Bombyx mori: one gene and its partners. The protein of the gene in region 3 purifies or fractionates together with the protein of the main gene of each other region. This does not show direct contact. Links are inferred from orthologs where the notes say so. Each region holds a gene or a part of one and is shown on either strand. Other genes may lie near its edges.

Evidence for each region.
Region 1: the proteins of COPA (region 3) and COPD fractionate together in Homo sapiens (co-fractionation; 4 studies listed by BioGRID and IntAct, with this or other methods). This does not show direct contact. The link is inferred for Bombyx mori from reciprocal best matches to the Homo sapiens genes COPA and ARCN1.
Region 2: the proteins of COPA (region 3) and COPB fractionate together in Homo sapiens (co-fractionation; 6 studies listed by BioGRID and IntAct, with this or other methods). This does not show direct contact. The link is inferred for Bombyx mori from reciprocal best matches to the Homo sapiens genes COPA and COPB1.

Annotation. Positions count from the first base shown.
Region 1 is NC_085130.1:5,917,236-5,920,894, reverse strand, and holds part of COPD (coatomer protein complex subunit delta), read left to right. Parts: intron 1-739; coding exon 740-895; intron 896-1,343; coding exon 1,344-1,420; intron 1,421-3,296; coding exon 3,297-3,385; intron 3,386-3,659. UniProt on the Homo sapiens protein: Component of the coatomer, a cytosolic protein complex that binds to dilysine motifs and reversibly associates with Golgi non-clathrin-coated vesicles, which further mediate biosynthetic protein transport from the ER, via the Golgi up to the trans Golgi network.
Region 2 is NC_085119.1:987,151-991,305, reverse strand, and holds the start of COPB (coatomer protein complex subunit beta), read left to right. Parts: upstream 1-1,278; 5' UTR 1,279-1,482; intron 1,483-2,216; 5' UTR 2,217-2,217; coding exon 2,218-2,308; intron 2,309-2,921; coding exon 2,922-3,151; intron 3,152-3,425; coding exon 3,426-3,595; intron 3,596-3,855; coding exon 3,856-4,063; intron 4,064-4,155. UniProt on the Homo sapiens protein: The coatomer is a cytosolic protein complex that binds to dilysine motifs and reversibly associates with Golgi non-clathrin-coated vesicles, which further mediate biosynthetic protein transport from the ER, via the Golgi up to the trans Golgi network.
Region 3 is NC_085132.1:3,505,792-3,509,450, forward strand, and holds part of COPA (coatomer protein complex subunit alpha), read right to left. Parts: coding exon 3,455-3,659; intron 2,910-3,454; coding exon 2,757-2,909; intron 1,976-2,756; coding exon 1,812-1,975; intron 1,101-1,811; coding exon 963-1,100; intron 1-962. UniProt on the Homo sapiens protein: The coatomer is a cytosolic protein complex that binds to dilysine motifs and reversibly associates with Golgi non-clathrin-coated vesicles, which further mediate biosynthetic protein transport from the ER, via the Golgi up to the trans Golgi network.

The DNA of each region.
Region 1 (3,659 bases), on a different chromosome or scaffold from region 3:
TAACAAACCCTTAGCTTAACTTAAACTTAAGCTTATGAACTGCAGTTTTGAACATAGTTTTGGATGTTGTAAATATCAATATCTGAATAAAACTTGTTGTAGGTCTTAGGTAATCTAATAGACATATCATTAGCCCCGCAGTTGGTGCGCTCTAGCGGTATATAAACATGTGATATTTTTAATATTAATCATATTTGCAACATTTATATTTTATTTTGTACCAGTTACATTATCTGTCTTTTAAAGTATGATAATATTATGTATTAATTTTGTTAATACATAGTAGTCAAATCATAGGTAAACTAAAAAAAAAACTAAAGCTAACTATGCTCTTTTGACGGTATTTATTAGAAGAATACTGGTGATGCCAAATGATTTCGCATATTAACTCAATTTCGAATATTTTTGGACACTTTTAATACGAAAAGACGAAATATGTAATTTAATTTAATAGAAATATGTATTTTAATTTGCGTAATTACTGGTGGTAGGACCTCTTGTGAGTCCGCGCGGGTGGGTACCACCGCCCTGCCTATTTCTGCCGTGAAGCAGTAATGCGTTTCGGTTTGAAGGGTGGGGCAGCCGTTGTAACTATACTTGAGACCTTAGAACTTATATTTCAAGATGGGTGGCGCATTTACGTTGTGGGTGTCTATGGGCTCCAGTAACCACTTAACACCAGGTGGGCTCGTCCACCCATCTAAGCAATAAAAAAAAAACTTTATTTTCTTTCTTCTAGTCGTACAGTGGGTCGTTCTGCCATGAAGCTCGGCAGCCGCGGCACAGACGCGGACTCGTTCGTGTCCCGACTCCGCAGCGAGGGTGACGTCACGGCGCCCGTAGCGTCGCCGGCGCAACACGACGCCGGCAAGCCCGTGCCCGCCGATCACAAGGAGTGAGTACTGTTTGCAAAACAATTTTTACTTTATCATTTTTTTTTTTAATTATTATTCACACATTGACTTCTGCGCTAAACGTGGACATATTTTTTAAAATGAATAGTCATTATTTTTGTTATTTTTTTTTATCTTCTCTAGAAACCCGAGAACATGCAGTAGTAGGTATACAGACAGGTGCTGCCTTCATAAATAATAGCATTGCTTTGAGATTCTAGCACTGAATGAATAGACACATTATGTTTTTGAATTTGAACCCGATACAGAGCATTTACATTCGGCATTCATTGTAATATTTTCAAAATGAACTCAAAAAATCGAACAGAGAAAGCATAAAGTTAATGTTTTTCTTATTTTAAAATATTCGTCCCTGTATAGGGGTAATGAAAAAAACAACTTTCTAATATCTTCACGTCTTGTACCGCAATGATTGGTTGATTATTTCAGTGTTCACTTGCGCTTCGAGGAGCGTTTAAACCTGATCGCCGGCCGCGACGGTGACATACAAACTTTTGAACTATCAGGTATTTATTGTATAATCTACTATAAACTATATTAAGAGAGAGAGAGAGAGATATTTTTTTCCTACCTTAGCCGATGGTCTTGAGAGACCATATCAGGATCACCGGGCGAGAGAGAGAGAGAGTATTCTTTATTGTACACCAAAAAAATAAACAATGCGATACATTGAAAAGTCGTCGTGGCCTAAAGAATAAGTCAAAAAAGCACAATTGGCGGTCTTATCGCTAACAGCAATCTCCTCCAGACAACCATCATCATTTGGAAACGAATTACGCGCGGTGTACCAAATTAGTGAAATATATATGTAAATATATACATACATACACACACATACATACACAAATACCATACATATGTATATTTATATGTATATATTTACACTCAAGTATAGTGTATATGTGTTTTTGTGTGTACGTCTTTTGTTAATTTATATTTCAATGCACTTACCAATATTTACTCTGCACTACCTTTGGTTGAATGGAAGAGAATGCCTTGGGCATTAAGTCCGTCAACGTAGATAAATACATTTAAGTGTAATAAATGAATTAATAATGTTACTTAATAGAAACATTGCGGTTTCTTGCTTGCTATCACAATAGCAAGGTTCAGTTACGCGGAGAAATGAGTCGACTGTTATCAAAGCCGGCAATGTGACTTTTGGACAATTATTGGTAAATCAGAAAAACGAATTTTTGACTTTGTATTCCATTGGCAGTCACAAAACTCTTCTGAACGACATCTTAGATAAATAACAGGTTAAGTATTAACCTTTATTTAATGCAGGTTTTGGTCAATAACATTTTTTTGTTCAAATGCACAGATTGCCACCTTTGATAATAGACGACCCAAATAAGTCAAAGACACTATTTTACAAACATTTATAATGATTGAAACGCGTACAGATAGTAGGCAGGTGACAGAACGTGGCATAAAACAATAACAAAACGAATAAATAGATGTTAAAGTACTGCATGATAGAAAACATTATTTTGAGGGTAGTATTTCAAACTACGCGACACGACGGCGCGCGTGAGGTCATTGACCCGACACGTGGCAGCAAAAAAAGATATAACTCTATCACTAATGGTTCTATTCGAAATATGAAAAGAGAATTTAACTTTACATAGACACTAGGTGGCAGCACTTTATAATAAGGATTGTAATTGAGTGCTCTCACTGTGTAATAGAAGAGAATAAATAAGTTTGTACCGTTTCTAATTAAATTGTTTTAAAACCAAAAACCGATAATCCAATTAGGTTCCTGCTCTTAAACTTAATCTGCCCGTGCGACATCCCTCTCCTTGCAAAGTATTCGTGATTAAAAGGGGTAAATAACAGTATTGAAGTACCACTGAGACCTCATGGATCAAAGTTGTCGCACATGAGACGTCTTGGGCTCCGGTGACCACTTAACAACGGCTGGACCGGGAGCTATCCGTCTCGGTACTTCAAGTGTGCATAGACTAAGGATAGGAAGTGAATATAAAGCCCCATTTAAAGCAATTGAAGCTTAGTGTAACATATTTAAGAGAGCTTATAAAGCTCTGAGAATAAAATAAAATTGTAATGAACAAATATCGAGTGACGGTATTTAAAAAAAAACCTATATAGTAAAAAAATAGAGTGAGAGAGAATATATTTTATTTCACATCAAAATAGAATTAACATCGACAGACCGTCAACAGGTCGGTATAATTGTACAACAGGCTTATCGTTAAAAGAGATCTCTTCCAGACAACCGTTTATTATCTACAGAAATTCTGTAAAAGACACATTGCGATGTACTATATAATATGTAGATTTACTAGAAATATTCAAAATATTGTTTTTTTTTGTTCACCGTACATCGGTTGCCAAATAGAAATGTTTGTTCGACAGGTTTGCTGACGCTACGCATTAGCAACGAGCAGTTCGGTCGCATACACGTGCACGTCGACAACAAAGACTCGAGACCGTTACAGTTGCAGGTAGGCTATGTTTTAGCCATAGGGATGATGTGGAAGAAACTCTGAATGCGAGAACGAGAGAGAGCTAACGAGGAAAACGTATCTTAGAGAGAACGCGAGCATAAAAGCATTCCTAAAGACTGACGTCACTGCGAAGATGATGCTTAGTTTTTTAGGGGATTTTATGACCTGGTAACTAAGACCTTTAAGTCATGTCTTATTTTAATTTATATTCTCACTTTTATGTAAAGTTATAATATGGAGTGAAATTAAATTAAATGAAGATGATTAATTT
Region 2 (4,155 bases), on a different chromosome or scaffold from region 3:
TGATTAAAAAATTGATTGAAATACATTCCCAAAATGGATATAGGAGTTTATTGACAAAAGCTGTCGACTGAAAAATATCTAACGTATCACGGAAATAATTCATGTAAATCCACTAATATAAAATTGATCGAATTTCAATACAATTCCCACTGAATCGAATTTGAATTCGATGTCAATTAATGATAATAAAAATATATACTTATTCGGTTCCTAGGATAAGCAAAGGAAACACAGTCCAAAGCATTCTTAACTTTGAACGCAAAAGCCGCGCCGTTTTTTATGAAAATTGAAGTGTAGAGTCTGATTGTTTGGAATCATGTGAGTAATCTTGAATCAATTGGTCTCTTAATTCTATTTTATAATTTACACTACTCTTCTCCTTTGTAGTGACAACTGATATGTATTTTTTGTTACTTTTCCTTCGATCAATATAATAATATGTAGTTGGTGACAGTCAATCAAATTGATTTTCATCGATTTCTTTCAGTGATTAAGCAATTGAAATTTTTGAGTAAAACTCAATGATTTTAATTTCAATTGGATAAAATGAACCAAAACAACATCCCAAATAAATGCAGAGGCAATAAAATATTTTCCGAGGAAAATTATGGAAATTTTTTACGAGGTTAACTGACTTTTTGGAAAAACTTGAGAAGCCACGTCGAATGATAAACAATTTATACCTTCAAACATGAAGAAAAACTAAATTATCAAAATATAGCACACGTCTAGAAATATTAAATGGTGGTAGGACCTTTTGTGAGTCCGCGCGGGTAGGTACCACCGCCCCGCCTATTTCTGCCGTGAAGCAGTAATGCGTTTCGGTCTGAAAAGTAGGGCAGCCGTTGTAACTATACCGAGATCTTAGAGCCTATATCTCAAGGTGGGTGACGCATTTACGTTGTAGATGTTTATGGGCTCCAGTAACCACTTAACACCAGGTGGGCTGTGAGCTCGTTCGCCCATCTAAGCAATAAAAAAAATATATATATTAAAAATTTGAAAAGACATTACCTTACAGGTGGTAGGACCTCTTGTGCTTGTGAGTCTGCACGGGTAGGTACCACCAAAGCGCCTATTTTCTACCGTAAAGCAGTAATGCGTTTCAGTTTGAAGGTTGGGTAGCTTTTATAACTATACTGAGACCTTAGAATTCATATCTCAAGGTGGGTGGTAGCATTTACGTTGTAGATGTCTATGGGCTCCAGTAAGCAATTAACACCGGGTGGGCTGTGAGCTCGTCCATCTAAGCAATAAAAAAAATAAAAAAAACACTTAAAACGTCAAATGTCACTTGAGTGGCGTAAATGACATGTCGGTTTCTGGACACGTATTTGTGTATGAGGAGGAGCTAAATTAATAAATTGGATTAATTTATCGTTTTTTTGTGTATTTTAGTACATACATGAAGGATTATTGAATTATTCATAGTTCATTCTTATCGTGTGATTTCGTGGCCCAGTATATCTTTAACTCATTCAGGTTAGTATGAGAACAACATGTCACTGTATACCGGACGAGTAAACCACGAATTTTTAGGCAGTATCATATCAACACTCTATCGTGTTGATGCTACTGCCTAAAATATCTGCTAACATATGATAGCAAACGAAATATTGAATACGAATGATCGTAAATTACAACTATACTTTTAAAGCAATCTTAAACAATTGCAATTTTGATTTTCCAACTGGATCATTTAACTAGTAGGATAAACATAGAAAAATAAAAATTAAAGAAATACATTACTAACTAAATATGACCAAACACACACACACACACATTTATTTGCCCATAAATTAACACTGCCAGGATCGGGACAGCTGAAAAGTTGAGTAAAACACATGTTAATAATCTACATTGGCTACTCTTATTTATGATCTTGTTTTCCATAATTGTTAGATTATTAGTAATAACGTTAGGAGGTTTGCAACAACAGTGTTCTACAATTGTTCTGGTATCTATTATACTGGTAGTACTCTACAAACTGACATCCTTAAGGGCAATATGTTAGCTGATTCCATTAGTGTTGCAGAATGATGAACCAGCTCAAGTTTAGCTATGGCATTGTCAATGCTTATGACCTGGGGATCATCATTAAATGGTTTGAAGAGTAATTAACAAATGTTTTCTGGTTTTGAATAAACATGAATTGTGATTAGAAAATTTGCAGTTACAGTCAAATTATTACTAATAAATTTAAATGTTTAACTCAGGATGGCGGTTGTGGAGCAGCCATGCTATACTCTTATCAATTTTCCAACTGATTTAGAACCATGCAATGAGATGCAACTTAAACTTGATCTTGGTGAGTAGTTTTGCATAATTCTTGGTCAGTAAAAGCTATTTATTAGTGACTTGGAAATTACAATACAACTTTTTTCTTCCAAAAATGTGGTAACGACTTGGAAGTGTGATTGCTACCTTGACCCCCCAGTATTATGCATGTATACTTTTGGATCTGTGTTATTATTATTATTCATTACATAGGGTGTTACTGTACACCAGTAACTCTGATCTACATTAATTTGTAGTTTGCACTTATGTTATTAGTTCCTATTTAGACCTAAAAAGTCTGAAAAATATGCATTAATATGCTATGAATATTTTTTGAAATTGAGTAGACTTAGGAATTATGTTTTGCAAATGACTACTAAAAAACACATGTGTTCAGTATATAATAAAAACTTCTAAAAGAAATGTACTTCTAAAATGTACATTTCCCTATCAGACAACATAAAAATATTTTTATCCTTAATACATATTTGAAAACCCTTCAAAACGCTTGTTTTTGAAATAAAAAGTTTTATGCACCGTCTACAGTGGTAGATGGTAATCACAAATATTTTTTGTAGTAAATAAAATAAGCAACCTTGCCCCCAATGTTGACTAAATTATATTTTACATCACAAACTTTACAGAGAAAGGTGATACAAAAAAGAAAATAGAAGCATTAAAAAAGACAATAGGAATAATACTTTCTGGGGAAAAGATACCAGGTCTGCTCATGATCATTATTAGGTTCGTGTTGCCATTGCAAGATCACATGATCAAGAAGCTGCTACTTATCTTTTGGGAGATTGTACCAAAGACCTCACCTGATGGAAAATTATTGCAGGAAATGATCCTTGTCTGTGATGCCTATAGAAAGGTTAGGGTGACAATCATATTTTTGCCTTTTTGAAGTGATTATTTCCAAGAAAATTAGTATGAAACTGTCTCTATTTTGTCAGAGAATTGTAGCTGCGTTCAAATCTCATAGCTATTTATGCATTTTAGAGTCTACTGTTTCAAAATTTAACTGTAAACAAACAGTATTTGATTTTAATAACTTTTAAAAATGTGTTCTTTATAATTTTATTAATTTACTAGTTAATCATCCTACCACTGTGATTTGAGTGTAACAGTATTTAAATCGACTATAGGATCTTCAACATCCAAATGAGTTCATTCGCGGATCTACTCTGCGTTTTCTGTGCAAGCTGAAAGAGCCTGAACTCCTTGAACCCCTAATGCCAGCCATACGGTCCTGTCTCGAGCACAGACATTCGTATGTCAGGAGGAATGCTGTTCTTGCTATTTTTACCATATATAGGTGAGGAATATATAAAATCTAAATTCATTTGTAAAGTTAATCAACCACAGGAAGTCTTATAATATATGATGATATAAAAAAATAATATGGATCTTGTAATTGCAAAACTTAAAACTGGTTATAGCTATATTAAGATTAAGAGGTATATTAATATATTATCTTCTATCAATAAAATAGATCAAATAGGAAATGCCCTGGGAATTCATCTGTAACAATTAAATGTTATTCATAATATATCAGTATTAAAATTTTCCTTTTAGGAACTTTGAATTCCTAATTCCTGATGCACCGGAGCTGGTAGCAAACTTCCTGGAGACTGAGCAAGACATGTCTTGCAAGCGTAATGCCTTCCTCATGCTGCTGCATGCTGACCAAGAGCGTGCTTTGACATATTTGTCTTCTAGGCTCGATAATGTACACAGCTTTGGAGATATTCTTCAATTGGTCATAGTCGAGTTGATTTATAAGGTTAGTGTCCTAATATTGAAATACACAAAAAATATATGTGTGGGTTGAAAGATAAAAGATAGATAGATGTTCCATGTTTATTTTTTCATATA
Region 3 (3,659 bases):
ATGTAATATTGACATTAAAAAAAAATTTATTGAACGGATTTGTAAATCTAAACCATATTTACAAATAACACACACAAAAAAGTATTATGTCATTAGATTTAAATCACCAATTATTATCGTAATCACTGATTATTTAAGTAATTTGACCGTCTTTATGATTAAAATCAAGTCAAGTCAAGACCGAAATCCTCATATTTCAATGTTCCCCAAAGTATAGTGCCCACCGTGAGTGACCCTCTATGCTGATAATTATGAATATAAACTATTTTCAAATAAACTTGATCAAAATAAAAACACAAACCCCTTAGATTTTAATCACTAATTATTATTGTAATCTTCCATTGTTTAAGTAATTTAACCGTCTGTATGATTAAGATGGTGCCAAGTCAACAATGCAATGGGACATATTTCAATGTTCCCTGAAGTACATTGCCCACTGTAACCTTCTATGCTGATAGTTGTCAAAATAAACCATTTTCAAATTATATTGATAAAAAAAAGACAAAAACCTATTAGATTTTAATCACTAATTATTATTGTAATCTTCCATTGTTTAAGTAATTTAACCGTCTGTATGATTAATATGATGCCAAGTCAACAATGGAGTTCACATATTTCAATGTTCCCTGAAGTACAGTGCCGACTGTGGCCTCCTGTGCTGACGGGCCCACGAGTCCACGGGCCCAAGAGTTACTGGTGGTAGGACCTCTTGTGAGTCCGCACGGGTAGCTACCACCACCCTGCCTATTTCTGCCGTGAAGCAGTAATGCGTTTCGGTTTGAGGTGGCTGGGGCTGCCGTTGTAACTATACTTGAGACCTTAGAACTTTACTTTTCAAGGTGAGTGGCGCATTTACGTTGTAGATGTCTATGGGCTCCAGTAACCACTTAACACCAGGTGGGCTGTGAGCCCGTCCACCCATCTAAGCAATAAAAAAAAGTATCAAGATTACACTCTTGTACCTGTTTTTAATGTAGAACAGCATATTGTTGTGAACTGCATACGCTGGACGCTCACGTTGCAGCTTGAAGAGTACCATCCCACCGTCGTGTCCCGCCGCGAACAAGTTCAGCGTGGGGTGGGACGTCAACACCCAGTACCTGTCAAATTGACACTGTTTGTACAATTTCCAATGTACAATATCCACCAAATGCCTATATAGAGAGTGCTCCAATATTTTGGTCATATAGCAAGAAAACCCTCTGACAACCTGGAGAGACTCATAGTGACGGGTAAAGTAGATGGAAGACGATCCTGAGGTCGGAGCCGAAAAATATGGAGTGACCAAGTGTCCGAGCATCTGAACATGAGACTGAGCCACGCACTTCACTGTGCCACTGACTGACAAAAGTGGCTACAAATTACAAAAAAAGGTCACAGGCGGGCGCATCACGATGCTCAGCAATGACCGATCGAAGGAGGAGGTACAATATCAATACTTTTCGAAAAAATGCCGCACCCATTTTTTTCAATGTCCATTTCTAACATAAGGTTATGTGGTTACCGCAACCCATAGACATGGAGATCGAAGACGCAATTGTATTTTACTAACGGCTGTCCCCCCTCTTCCTCCCTCTGCCAAAACCTATTACGCCATAAAAATAAATTTTGTTTGTTACCCCTGTAAAGTTTTTAAGAAAATTCCAATTTCCAATCCAATTTTTTAGGAAATTCCAATTTTCGAAAATCAGGTCTAATTATTAAGATTCGGAAACCCATACGTTAACAGTTGAAATTTCTAAAAAATATCCCGTTTACGACCTGAAGAGAAAGAAGATCAAACCAGCTTCACGATAAAATAATTCGTTTACCTCTCGTGTTCCCTTCTAAAGGACTGCAGGAGGGTCCTTTTAGACATGTCCCAAACTCTGATATAAAGATCCTCGCTGTTAGATATGATGAGTTCGTGTTTCGCGTGAAACAAAACACAGGAGACATTGTTGTAGTGGCCGCGACATGTATCCACTTCCCAGGCCTGGAAAAGTGGCATATAATTCAAGTTGTAAACTCTGAGTACATCATTGCATGTGGGGAACCACTGAGGTGTTTGGTGAGGGTGGTTTACTTCTAGGAAGTGGTGGTATATCATTGGCAAAGTGATCTTGAGAGGTAATTTTGTGGATAGCAGCTAGTCTCGGCATTCAGTACTCAACTTCAAGTTTATTAGAAATTTAGTATAAACATATTGGACATTATTATATGAATTGTAGAAATAGTTTTTTTTTCTATGCTATTCTATCAGCCCATGGATGTCCACTGCTGGACATAGGCCTCCCCCAAGCCTCGCCACAAAGACTGGTCTTGCGCTGCATGAAATAGTTTATCATTTATTATTATGAAATAATTAAAATAAATAAGGTTTTCAGACAGATAGCTTTTAAATATTTTAATCGGACTCAGACAGAATGCTTTGTCACTTTCCTGCAAATCGATTTTCGCTAATTTGTTAGGCGGCTATAAACTATGACGTCATTATTCCAGATGATATAATGAAGCTTATAATTTCCGTATTCTTGAACAGACTGACTTTGTTTATATTTAATTTTTTTTTCTCCATCTTATCCCACTAGGTGGGGTTGGCATGGCACTTTGTTTATATTTAATAATTTTCCTAAATTAAAATAATTTCTTTATTTAATTTGGTTCATTAATCTAGTAGTTATTAAAGAGATGTACATATGCTTATTTATTAATAAGGTATTTGTCAGACATTATTGGTGACAATGACCTTCATAAACTATACACTAAAGCCTTACCTTAGAATCATTCATTCTCCAAAGCTTCACTTGTCTGTCATCTGCAGCAGATGCGATCAATGGTAAAGTAGGATGAAAACAGGCCCAGTTTACACCCCTATCGTGGCCCTCCAAGACGTGCTTCACAACAGCATCAGCCTGCATGTACAGTTGCTTTAGCAACGGAACCGCAGGGATTTTGATTAATAAAAATAATTAATTAAATAAAATAAAAAATCATAATAACAAATAGCTGTTTTTTGTTTGAATGAGATGAACAGAAAATATATTTACAAAGAATGATTGGATGATTGTGTATGGAGGTTTGGATCAAATAAAAAGGATGTATTTGGATCGTTTTGGGATGTTAGTACAAGTAGATATTCAATAGATACTGGTTAAAAGTAAATAATTACAATAAAACAAACAAAATATAATTAATACATATTTACAAATCAATAATATATGCTGGGTATATATTTTTCATTTTCAAAGAATTATTTTAACTCACCAAAATCCCAATAAAGATAATTTAAAAACATTATTCAGTACATAGTCGACACATAGTGTCATGCTGTGATTAAAGAAAATTAAACATATGGACATCTTGTAGATTAACCCTAACTTCGGGATCACCATTACTTCCTCGGATATTTTGAATGCATAGCCATAATCCCTGATGAAAGCAGTGACACCAATTGACCAACCACTAGCGTTACCTGTCCAAAAAGATCTGTTGCTTGTGGATTCCTTAAGTGTTCAGTCAGTCCAGCAGGTCCTGGAGCAACACTCTTTTTTCTCAGTCCAGAGAAATCCCAGACTCTTACAGACTGGTCTAATGAAGCAGAAACAAGAAGATCTTCAGTGGGATGGAATTGAGCACACATTACATAATGGTTGTGGCCGGTGAGAACACTTATGCAT